Linked DNA regions of Ovis aries. The protein of the gene in region 2 interacts with the protein of the main gene of each other region in a biochemical or structural test. Links are inferred from orthologs where the notes say so. Each region holds a gene or a part of one and is shown on either strand. Other genes may lie near its edges.

Region 1 (3,749 bases), on a different chromosome or scaffold from region 2:
CAAAAGCCTACTGCCATAAAGAATTTGCCTTGACAGTTCATTCATTAATTCAGAAACATTTATTGAGTGCCTGTTGCATGCCTCATGATACCTGTTGCATGCCAGGCTGTGTTCCTGGTGCGGGAGATGGTGTCTCTGCCCCAGAGAGATTACATTGTAGCAGGAGAGCCCAGCAAGACAAAAGTAGACAAGCAAACGTCAGACAGCTGAAAGCTCCCAGAAGAAAACTAAAGTGACAGATTATAACTGGGACAGGGAGAAGGGACTTATTTTAGAGGCTAGTCAAGGAAGTCCTCTCTGAGAGAAGAGGGAGAAGGAACAGTTAAGTGTGAAGATCCTAAGCAAGGAGCAGCTTGGCAAGCTCGAGAAACAACAAAGAGGCCAGTGCGTCTGAAGTCTTAGGAACATCCTGCCACACACTGTCCCCGGCTCTTCCTTCCCTTCCCAGGCCTTTTGTACCTTAATTTTTACCTCTAGGTTGAGGGTCCCATTACCTCCTTTGGTGAGCTTTCCTAAAGAAGCTCCTCTCACCAGTTCACTCACTCCTCCACCTTCTATTGATAAGAAAAGAGCCTAGGAATACGAGTTGGCTTTCACTGACCTACCCCAGTTTTCACTTTCGAGAAACAATAATATAAGGAAAACCTAAAATCTGAGCCCAAGGGATTCACTAGCTTGCACATATATCCCTTGTAGCTTTTATAACAAACGTTTTTAGCATGGCCTGAGAGTTGCCACAAATATGCCTTGCCCATTTAAAAATAATACAATAAACAATGAAAATCCTCTAACACCAGGCTCAATACAATCTCTCATCAATGACCTAAAGGAACTTCAAAATCTTGCCATGTATCATCAGACACCAAAATTACAACCAAGCATTTTCCCTCATTTTGTTTCTGTCTAGAAGCTACTGTACAGGGCTGCTGCTTTCATGAGTGTTTTTACCCTGCTAACAAAGAGTGATTGAGCTAGGGACTTCCTTAGAAACACCCCGTGAGTACTTAAAGATATTGACTGAAATATATATACATTTTATATATATATATAATATATTATAATAAAAAGTACTGAAAGAGAGTGAAAAAATAATAACAACAACAGCTTACTTTTACTGAACACTTAGTATGCATCAGGTCCAGTGCTAAATTTTCTACGTGCATTACAGCATTTAATGCTCAGTCCTATGAGGTAGGTAGTAATATTACACTTTTTGGACAAGAAAACTGAGGGACTGTGAGGTTAACTTGCCAAAGCCAGCATCAGACTAGCACAAGATTAGGTCTTAGCTCTGCCTGACCCTGGAGCCCTGGAGCAAAGATGAAGGTGCATCTGATTCAAAATGGGGCTTTAGACCAAGAGATGCTTAGGTAAAGGGCAAAGCTGAATCATACCAGGGTGCTTTCCCTCCATGTCCTTTACGACTATTGTCTCTCCCAGCGTTTATCACGGAAAGGCCCTATTTCTGAAACCCCACCCCACCCCCCTCCAACTCCTGTAAAGAAAGCTAATTAAGCAAATCCAGAGAGGTGGTTTTATTCAGAAACGTCCCTCTCTCCCACATCCTGACCTAACTGGTATTGCTGTCTTAAAGGATTCCATTTCTTAGTCTTCTTCCTCTCCTTGAATTTGAAATCTTCCTTTGGGAAGATACCTTCAAAGCCATTGCCAGAGGGCTGGAGAGAAAGGCCTCTCCTCTGAGGAGCTGGTGGCCCTATATCTGGCCATTCCCTCATCCCAGGCCTCCACCTTGCTGGCCTCTACCAGAGGTCCAACCTGAAGCCAGGAGCCTGAGTCCTTTTGGCAGCAAAGGTAAATTCTAGGCTCCTTTTCCTCCACTGCAAAGAGCATTCCTACAGCCGCCCCCAAAGGCGCTGGAGAAGACCCTCTGAAGAGCAGGAAGCCCAGGCGAGACAACCCCAGTGAGGGACGTGAGCCGCACGGTGGGCAGTGGGGGCTCCAGGGCCCCGTCATGTACTCACAGCACACACAGACAGTACACGCCGGGAACACTCTCGCTGTCCCTCAGCAGATAGCTGCCATCCAGGCCCGTGGCGAGCAGGAGCTTCTCCCCCGTCTCCCGGCTGATCTTGCCATGATACACAGCCACCGCGTCCATGGCCAGGGGACAGTAGCAGGGAAAGGCCGCTGTTGCTGCTGCCGCCGCAACCAGGCACGACTCAGCCACCTGCCTCCCTGTTCAGCCAGATGTTCAAAAAAGAGAAAGGAGCGCCCCAACAACAGGATGTTGTCTACCTGCCTCACAGCCTCCTTCTCGCACTTCAGTGAAAACCAGGTCAGCAGTTTAGCAGCTTGGCTACTGCCCTAGGGTTCAATTCCCCCCTCCCCTCTCTGCTCCGCCTCTGCCACAAAAGGGTTGGGGTGGATGGATGGACAGAGAGGGGAGGACTATTGGAAGAAGGTCCTTGCAGGATGTGGCCTGTGCTCCCAATGCATGCAGACACGAATGCCTGGTAATGTTTCTGTCCTTGTAGTTTTCCCAGGAAGGCCACCCTGACTTAGCTTAAATAGTCCCCAAAGGGGTTAATGAGACAGGGAAGCCGTGTTGATCTTCATGTGGGGCAGAAACATACTGACAGAGAATGAAAGGCCCAAAAGCTCTGAGACCAAAACACAGAGGTCATCAGTATTGTCAGTGGGTGATCCCCACTGAGCACAGGCAGGAGGCTCCTAGGGAATCAGAGGCAAGAAGTGAACAGCGGACTTGGGATCCACTGCCTCCCCTCCCCAAACCCTCCCCCTTCTCTTTGACTCCTCCTAGTCATCTCCAGCAATCTTGATCCTGAACAAATCAAACATTTCCAGGCTTCTTGTCCAAGATCCCAAAGTGCTGGTTGAGGTACAAAAATCAGTCTGTGTCCAAAGATGTTCCAGATGTATCTATTTGATGGGCCTTAGATGAGAGAATAAATCATTTCATTGGTGTTTTGCCTTCATGCGGACTTGTCTGTGCCTTTTGACATACAGGGCCTACCTTTTAGCATTTGGGACATCAAACTTAAGTCCATTGTGAGTGTTGATAATTGCGTTGTATCTTTTATCATCTGTAGTTAGTAGAGAATATGGTTTTTGTTCAATTGATGCTAAGCTATCAAATTTTTTAGAACCTTTCAACCTTTGTTTCCTTCTCTCTTGTATTTCAAGATGTGCTGTTAAGTAATATTTCCCCCAAACTTCCTCATTTTTCACTAGAACGAGACCTTGTTTAATGTTTGAAGCTGAATGCTCTTCTACATTTTTTCTTTTGAGTGTGTAACATACTTTTCTTTTTCTTTTTAGATTGTTTTTGATGTAGACCATTTTTAGTCTTTATGGAAGTTTTTATAATATTGCTTCTGTTTTATGCTTTGGTTTTTTGGCTGCAAGGCATCTGGGATCTTAGCTTCCCATGCATGTATGCTAAGTCGCTTCAGTTGTGTCCAATTCTTTGCAACCCTGTGGACTGTAGCCCACCAGGCTCCTCTGTCCATGGGATTCTCCAGGCAAGAACAGCGGAGGAGATTGCCATGCCCTCCTCCAGGGGGTCTTCATCAAACCCACACCCCCTACATCAGAAGGTGAAATCTTATACCACTGGACCACCAGGGAAGTCCCTGTAAAATACTTTTTAAAATTAAAATTTAAGTAGCTGAAATTATGTTGTCTGTTGTGTCTCTTCAACAATGTCACACCTAGTTCCTTGAGAGCCTGGCCCATCTGGGACCCCAATAGGGAGAACAATTTTTAAA
Region 2 (3,749 bases):
AACTGGAACTTCCCTGGTCCAGTGGTTAAGAATCTGCCTTGCAATGCAGGTGATACAGGTGTGATCCTTGGTTGAGGAACTAAGATACCACGTACCTTGGAGCAACTAAGCCTGCATGTCTCCGATACTGAAACCCGAGAGACCCAACTGCTAGTAGAGAGTTTAGTCCATGCACTGCAATGAAAGATCCACGTGAAGCGAAGAAGATCCTTTGCACCACAAGTGAGACCCAATACAGCCAAATAAACAAATAATTTAAAAAACAGACATAATAACAATGCAATATGTGATCCTGGTTGGATTCTGGATGGGAAAAAAAAGATGTTATATCACACATCTGGGGCTTCCCAGGTGGTTCCAATAGTAAAGAACCCGCCTGCCAATACAGGAGACTAGGAGATGTGGGTTCAACCCCTAGGTTGGGAAGATCCCCTGAAGGAGGGCATGGCAACCCACTCCAGTATTCTTGCCTTGAGAATCTCATGGACAGACAAACCCAATGGGCTATGTCTATAGGGTCACACAGAGTAGGACACGACTTAAGCGACTTAGCAAGCATGCACACAGCACTGGGGGGACATTTGGTAATATTTAAATATGTATTATATATTTGATTGCATTGATGTTAAATTTACTAAATTTTATAACTGTGCTGATATCATGATATGGGGACATTCTTGGTTTTTGAAGATGTGTGCTAAAATAGTTAAGAGTAAAAGGGGGTGATGTCTGCAATTTACCCTTGAATATTCCACAAAAAATTATTATTATTATACAGCTATTCACACATGCATATATTTGGAGAGAAAGAGAAATACAGCAAATGTGATAAAATGTTAACAACTGGTGAATCTAGATGAAGGAAATACAAGAATTCTTTGTACTATTCTTGCAACTTCCCTGAAATGTCAAAATTATTTTAAACTAAGACGTTTAAAAATTGAAACAAATAACTATAGCAGTTTCAGTCAACTTACTCAAGGCCAGCCCCACAGACACAGTGTATAGTAAGAAGAGAGAAAAGTTCCGTAAGGCCCAAGTCCATCCTTTCCAGTGCTCAAAGAATCGCCACCTGGCTTCCCCCTGCAATGGATTTGGCATGGCCGTGCCCAGAGACAGTGCCACAAGGATGGAGGGAGCATCATGTAGGCTCATGATCTCAGAGTCAGCCCGGACCTTCTGTTCCTGCACTCCCAAAGCCAGGCATCAAACCCTGTGGGTCCTACCTTGGCTTTCAAGGTTCTAATCTAGCTTTCTTGCCTGGGATCCTGTATCTTTGGATCCCCGCCTAGCCCACATACATGATCCCCAGGCTCCAGACTTCTCTCTCTGCTCCCTGTTCCTCATCACACCATGCCCTACTCCACCTGTACTCATGCAAATGCCGGAGCCTAGAATCTTCTTCTTGAAGGATATCTGAGTGCCAGGGGCTCAGTGATTGAACTGGGTACCCAGGGACAGCTTGTAACAGGCCCTAAACAAACACTTCCCTGTGCCTCAGTTTCCTCCCTTTGCAACCAAGTGTGCCTTCCTCTCATTCCACCTCCATTCACCATGCCCTGCAAAGAGTTACTGATTTAAAATGCAGGCTCCAAGTTTCAGAGCATCCTAGACAAGGTTGGAGAGAAAGGGGGAGCACCCCTCATTGAGATTCCCTACCCCCTCATTTGTTGGCTCAGGGCCCACCTGAGAGTTTTCAGTTTGTGATGGAACTTCCTAATAGTGTCTCCTTCTCTTCCCTTCCCCGCCCCCTGCCCCCAGCCAAAGTGAAAGTGTTAGTCACTCAGTCATGTTCAACTCTTGGTGATCCCATGGACTTCTGCCTGCCAGGCTCCTCTGTGCACAAAACGCTGCAGGCAGGAATACTGGAGTAGGTAGCCATTCCCTTCTCTTGAGGATCTTCCCAACCCAGGAATCAAACCCCAGTCTCCCTCATTGCTGGCAGATTCTTTACCATCTGAGCCACTAGGAAAGCCCCCAGTCAACATTTCCCTAATAATTCTCAGGCTCACTTGGCCTCTGGGCTGCTGACAGAGTTGATGGAGAGGGACCAGCTCTTGCAAGTAAAGCCTCTGTTCAGGCCTTCATCTCACGCCTCCTATCCCCCTCCCCCACTCCACACCGCCTATCACTTGCCAGGGCTCAACTTTCCTGCCTCAGAGAATAATCTGTCAGTCTCTGAGCTTCAGAACCACTCGACTTCCTTTGAGAAAGTTCATGGCCGCTTCTTCTCTCTTTTGGCAACTGCACCAAATGAGAGGATATTTCATTCTTACAGCCAGCAGAGAGGACACTTTCTCCCCCCTAGACAGAAAGGAAAACTGAAGCTGGTGCGAAGGACTCACCTTGCCAAGGTGGCCTGGATTGTTGATGGCATGGCCAGATGCACACTTCTCAAAGACCTCCCAACCCACTGCCAGCCTTTGCTGTCTGACCCAGCCTGCCCAGAGCTGCAGGGAGCTGCTCCGAGTCACAGGTTCAGGTGACCAGGTAAGCAGCACAATCCGGAGGCTCACATCCTGATTTCCCTGAAGGCCACAGCTCCTGGTCCATGCCAGCCCACCCCTACCAGGCTGGGCCTCCTTACCTTGGCCCTGATGTCCCTTGATGAGCAGGAGGAGTGTGAGGGCAAGCACTTGCCCCAGCATGCCCACAGAACAAATGTAAGAAGCTCACAGAGGGGTCAAGCCAGCTCCCCTCCCACCAGATACTCTGCCCTGCACAAGCTCAGCAGCCACCCATCAGCAGAAGGGTGACAGGGAGCAGAACTCTGTCAGGCTTCAGCCACAATTTCCTCAGCTTGAGGATGTTCTCATCAGCTGAACGCTAGCAGGGTTGTTGAGGAAGCCCCAGTCCCTGGACCTGGTCTGATAGTTCCCACAAGCTAAACTTGCGAAGTTCGCCTCAAGTGGGCGGATGCTCAGAATACACAGTGACTCACAAAACCAACTTAGAAATCTTGTCCTGAGCTCTGCCCCAGCCCAGCTGCTTTGTTTAAAGGACAGATGCCCAAGAAAGTTCCCAATTCTCTGCATCCTACTGGCAATATAGAGAAAACTATATGGGGACCAAACAGCCATTGTGTAAGCCTGTCCAATCCCAACAGACATTGTGAAGATGAAGGACAGAGGGTTTGGGAAGGATGTAGATTGAAAAGTGGATCACTATATAAATAGGTGAAATGCCAAAGGAGACAAGTAAAGGCACTGGAAAAATCTAGCAGCCTGGGGGTTTTCTGAAGGTTGATACCAAAGTTTCAACCTTAAGCACATCCAAATTAAAATGTTTCCATAATAATATCCTTTTGCCTAGCTTCCGATGTACTTTTAAATTCCTTCCCATCCTCTTTTTCTACTTTCCCGTAATAGTTCTTTCTTCTCAGCTTCTCCCACCCAGACTGCATGTAGACCCATTTTTGCTGCCCCCCCCCAACACACACTTTGATCCCACCTTCCAGAAAGGCCAGGCAGCCTTTGACTCTTCACACTGCCATGGAGGGGTGGAGGCATCCCACTTTCCCCAGAACTCAATAGCTTTGAGACCGCACCCAGAGTTCTTTGCCCTTCTTTTTCTTCTGCTTTCCCCTCAGCAGAAAATATTTTCAGTTCCCTTCAGTTCAGCCTTTCTTCTCCTTTTCCATCTGTTGATCCATTTCCAGTCACTGTGTCTGAAGTTGGGCTGAGGGGAGGCAGAATGCAAGACTTGCCTGCCAAAAAAAAAAAAAAAGGCAGCAATGATTTTCTGGGTTG
Region 3 (3,649 bases), about 100 Mb from region 2:
ACACAGACAGACTCACACACACACTCACTGACGGACAGATTCACAAATACACACAGACAGACTGAAAAGACACAGAAAACTCACACACACATTCACATTCAGACTCACATGCTCTCTTACACACACAGACTCACAGATACACACACACACACACACACACACACACACGCAGCCCTCCGCTTCTGTGTCAGTCCTCTGAAGCAGCCTGACCGGTCCCACTGGCTCACGGCTGAGAGCAGCGTTTCCACCTCCGCCTGAGTCTCTCGATCTAGACCAGAGGTCACAACCTACAGCCCGTGGCCGAATCAAGCCTCCGCCTCGTCTGTAGGCACAGTTCTCTAGAACATGGCCGTGCTCTTCCAAGTTCCCGCTATCTGCAGCTGCTCTCGTGTGCTGGCAGCGGGGCTGAGAAGTTGCACATAGCCTGAAAAGACTAACATATTTACTACCTGACCCTTCACAGCACGGCTATTGACCCCTGTCCTTGATCGCTGACACTCAAGGTGGGGTCTGTCAGCCAGCAGCCCTGACACCACTGGGAGTTCGTCAGAAACACAAAACTGTCTGGCTCCTCCTGAGAGGTGCTGAGTCAGAACCGCATTCTGGCAGATCCTCAGAAGCACTGGGGTAGACCCCGAGTGCATGTAGTCTGGGAGGACCATCTGGAGCAAGTGGAGGCTGGGAGGACCACCCATCCCAGAAGGGATAGACACGCGAGTGTGGGCAGAAATGAGCTTACGCAGAACACACCCCCCCCACCCCGGCTCACCCAGCGTGTTGGCGATGCCCGTCTTCACGTTGTCGGTGCAGATGTGGCTGATCCGGTTCTCGTGCTCCGGCTTGGCCAGCACCACGATGCGGATGTTCCAGAGAGTGTGGATGGCGATCTGGAGAGGGGGACAGTGCTGTGACCCTGGGCCAGGACACACTGCTTGACCCCAGAGCAAGGGTTTCACACCCAGCCCTCTCCCTCAGGTGTGGGGCGGCCTGCCGGTCATCCCTATACTTTAGGGGACCCCTAAGGATACTTCACAGGTGATGCAAAGTGTCTTAAAGATAGGGCCAGCACTGACTAGATTTCAAGGAAGTAAAGGTTACCTACAAGCTCGGGCAAGGGAGAGGGACCACACCAGTGATTAGCAATGCCCAGGGACACCATTAATTATTGGATACAGGTGACCTTCTCTGGCCCTGAACGGCAGGGGGACCACTGAGCACACTCTTGCCCCGGAGATGCTCCCAACTTGCCAGGTCCACTGCCCTGGTGTCCCACCCGGGGCCATGGCCCCCACTCACTGTTTTAAAGGTCATGCTGGTGATCTCTTGCAGGGAGTGTTTGAGTATCTCCAGCCACTCCTTCTCTCCCAGGGGGTCCTCCTGGGTCCCGATCACATAGATGTCATGGGGGATATAATCAGCTGAGTCATCCCGCGTCTTTCCCTGCCCCTTGGAGAGAAACCAGGACGTGATCTTCTTGGGAGGGGGGGCGTTACCTTCAACAGCAAAACCCAACACCAAGTGAGTCAAAGGTACATCAGGAGAAGTCAGAACAGATGTAGGGGAAACATGGTCAGGGGTGGGGCAGGGAGGGTCACAAAGTCACTGAAAACCAGTCAGTTTTCAGTGAAACCCAACGAAATACCTTAGGTACAGAGCTAGGTACTATCATGTCCCAGGATGTTACATTGCTTTGTAAAGACAGCATTAAGTTTCAAAGGCTAGAAGCACCCAAAGATTCCACATAGCAACTTGAACTCATAGCATAGATGTCAGCCACTGTCCTAGTCGTTGGGGCTATAGTGGTAACTGGGACACAGGCCTTGAGGAGATTACTCTCCATTGTCTCCATTGAGACAGCACTGTCAACTGACAGGTTTAGGATGGAGCCTTCTAACCCACAGTTAGGAGACAGCAAAGCCCTCATTGCACAGGAGAGGTCTTAGCCAAACACTGAGAGAGGCCATGCAGGAGTCAGCCAGAGGAACCGAAGAGCCTGGAGCCCCTACCCACTGCCCACCTCCACTGCCATTGCAAAAACTGAGCCGAAACAGCTCAGTAAAGAAACAATGATAAAGATTTATTTCCCCTCAAATCTTGGAGGTTGAGTCAACATTTTTTCCCCCAGAGAGAAAACCGTCCTGGCTCACGACTGCCAAGAAGCCAAGAACTGGAGTGACCTGACCTCTGCTCCCACTGTGATTCAGGGTGGGAACATAAGCCCTGGGGCCTGGTGGTCTCTGCTCAGGGAGACCCTCCCAATCTGCCCTAGTCAGTTCCTTCCATGGCGTGTGAAGGGCATGTCTGCAGCTGTTCACCTGGACGGTGCACAGCCAAATCAAAGACTTCCATGCTTGCAGAAGGAAAGAGGGGAAAGGGCCAGGTGCCTGTGGGCACGAAACCCCAGGTGTTAGAGCGGAGGGACTCAGGCGGCCAATAAGAAACAACGGCAGAGAGTGAGGGACACAGGAACTAGGCCAGCATTCTGTTGGGTTGACCAAAAAGTTTGTTCCAGTAAAACCCAAATGAGATTTTTTACCAACCCAATACTTCAGCGTGGCTGTGACTCTTCAGGTTTCTTGGGCATGAAGACCTGGGGAAGCTGAGGCTAGTGCAACCAGGATGGGGACAGCTCTCCTGAGTTCCCTGAGTCCAGCCCATCTTCCACCCAGCGACAGGCCAGGGGTCCCATGCAGCTTTTTCATTCAGATTCCCACTCCTTCTGCTCAGCCACTTCCTCCCAGGTGACTGGTCTACTGTATCGGGAGGGTGGTGGTCCTGATTCTGCTCCAGACCAAAGTGGGGGAGACATGCCCAGTTAAATTCAAATTTCAGATAACCAATGGATACTTTTTGGAATAAGTATGTCCCGTGCAGTATCTAAAATTCAAATTGACTGGAACTTCTGTATCTACTCAATTTTTTAAAATTTCTAATTGAATATTTAAACTAAGTAATTACTTAGTATAATTCATATTAGTGTAAAAATGTGTATTAGCACCTGAGTATACACTATGCATGTTTAGCACAAAGGATATTTGGTGTATATTTGCACTTCTAACTGAACTGTTATACTAAATAATTATTTAGTGTAATTATATTCAGTATACTTACTATAGTATGTTATTGTATTTAAGATATTATATTTGGTATATATTAGTATGTAAATATACATAGCATATATATTTAGCTTAATATATATTTAGTATGTATTTCTGCTTCCCAGGGGGCTCAGTGGTAGAATCCACCTGCCAATGCAGGAGACACGTGTTCAATCCCTAGGTCGAGAAGATCCGCTGGAGAAGGAAATGGCAACCCACTCCAGTACTCATCTTGCCTGGAAAATTCCATGGGCAGAAGAGCCTGGTCGGCTACAGTCCATGGGACAGAGAAAGAGTCGAACACGACTGAGCAATTGAGCACACACAGGTATGTCTTTCTAGCTAAATTCTTATACTAAAAAATATAGTTGTTTGTTGTTTACATGAAATTCAAATTCAGCTGGGCATCATCTTTTTTTTTTCTCTTTCTCGCTCAATAAATCTGGCAGCCCAAATCAAAGAGGTTCCTTCTTCCAGGCCTGAAGCCCCTTGGCGAGTTGCCTAAGGCTGGAAGGTGGCCAAGGGCCCCTTCACCTATTTATTCAAACTCT

The links.
Region 1: the proteins of CD244 (region 2) and SH2D1A interact in a biophysical measurement, tested with the Homo sapiens proteins (2 studies listed by IntAct). The link is inferred for Ovis aries from reciprocal best matches to the Homo sapiens genes CD244 and SH2D1A.
Region 3: the proteins of CD244 (region 2) and INPP5D interact in a biophysical measurement, tested with the Homo sapiens proteins (2 studies listed by IntAct). The link is inferred for Ovis aries from reciprocal best matches to the Homo sapiens genes CD244 and INPP5D.

Annotation. Positions count from the first base shown.
Region 1 is NC_056080.1:108,291,045-108,294,793, reverse strand, and holds the start of SH2D1A (SH2 domain-containing protein 1A), read right to left. Parts: upstream 2,295-3,749; 5' UTR 2,120-2,294; coding exon 1,983-2,119; intron 1-1,982.
Region 2 is NC_056054.1:112,102,600-112,106,348, forward strand, and holds the start of CD244 (natural killer cell receptor 2B4), read right to left. Parts: upstream 2,870-3,749; 5' UTR 2,649-2,869; coding exon 2,588-2,648; intron 175-2,587; exon of another isoform or gene 96-174; intron 1-95. UniProt on the Homo sapiens protein: Heterophilic receptor of the signaling lymphocytic activation molecule (SLAM) family; its ligand is CD48.
Region 3 is NC_056054.1:7,803,743-7,807,391, forward strand, and holds part of INPP5D (phosphatidylinositol 3,4,5-trisphosphate 5-phosphatase 1), read right to left. Parts: intron 1,494-3,649; coding exon 1,297-1,493; intron 888-1,296; coding exon 770-887; intron 1-769. UniProt on the Homo sapiens protein: Phosphatidylinositol (PtdIns) phosphatase that specifically hydrolyzes the 5-phosphate of phosphatidylinositol-3,4,5-trisphosphate (PtdIns(3,4,5)P3) to produce PtdIns(3,4)P2, thereby negatively regulating the PI3K (phosphoinositide 3-kinase) pathways.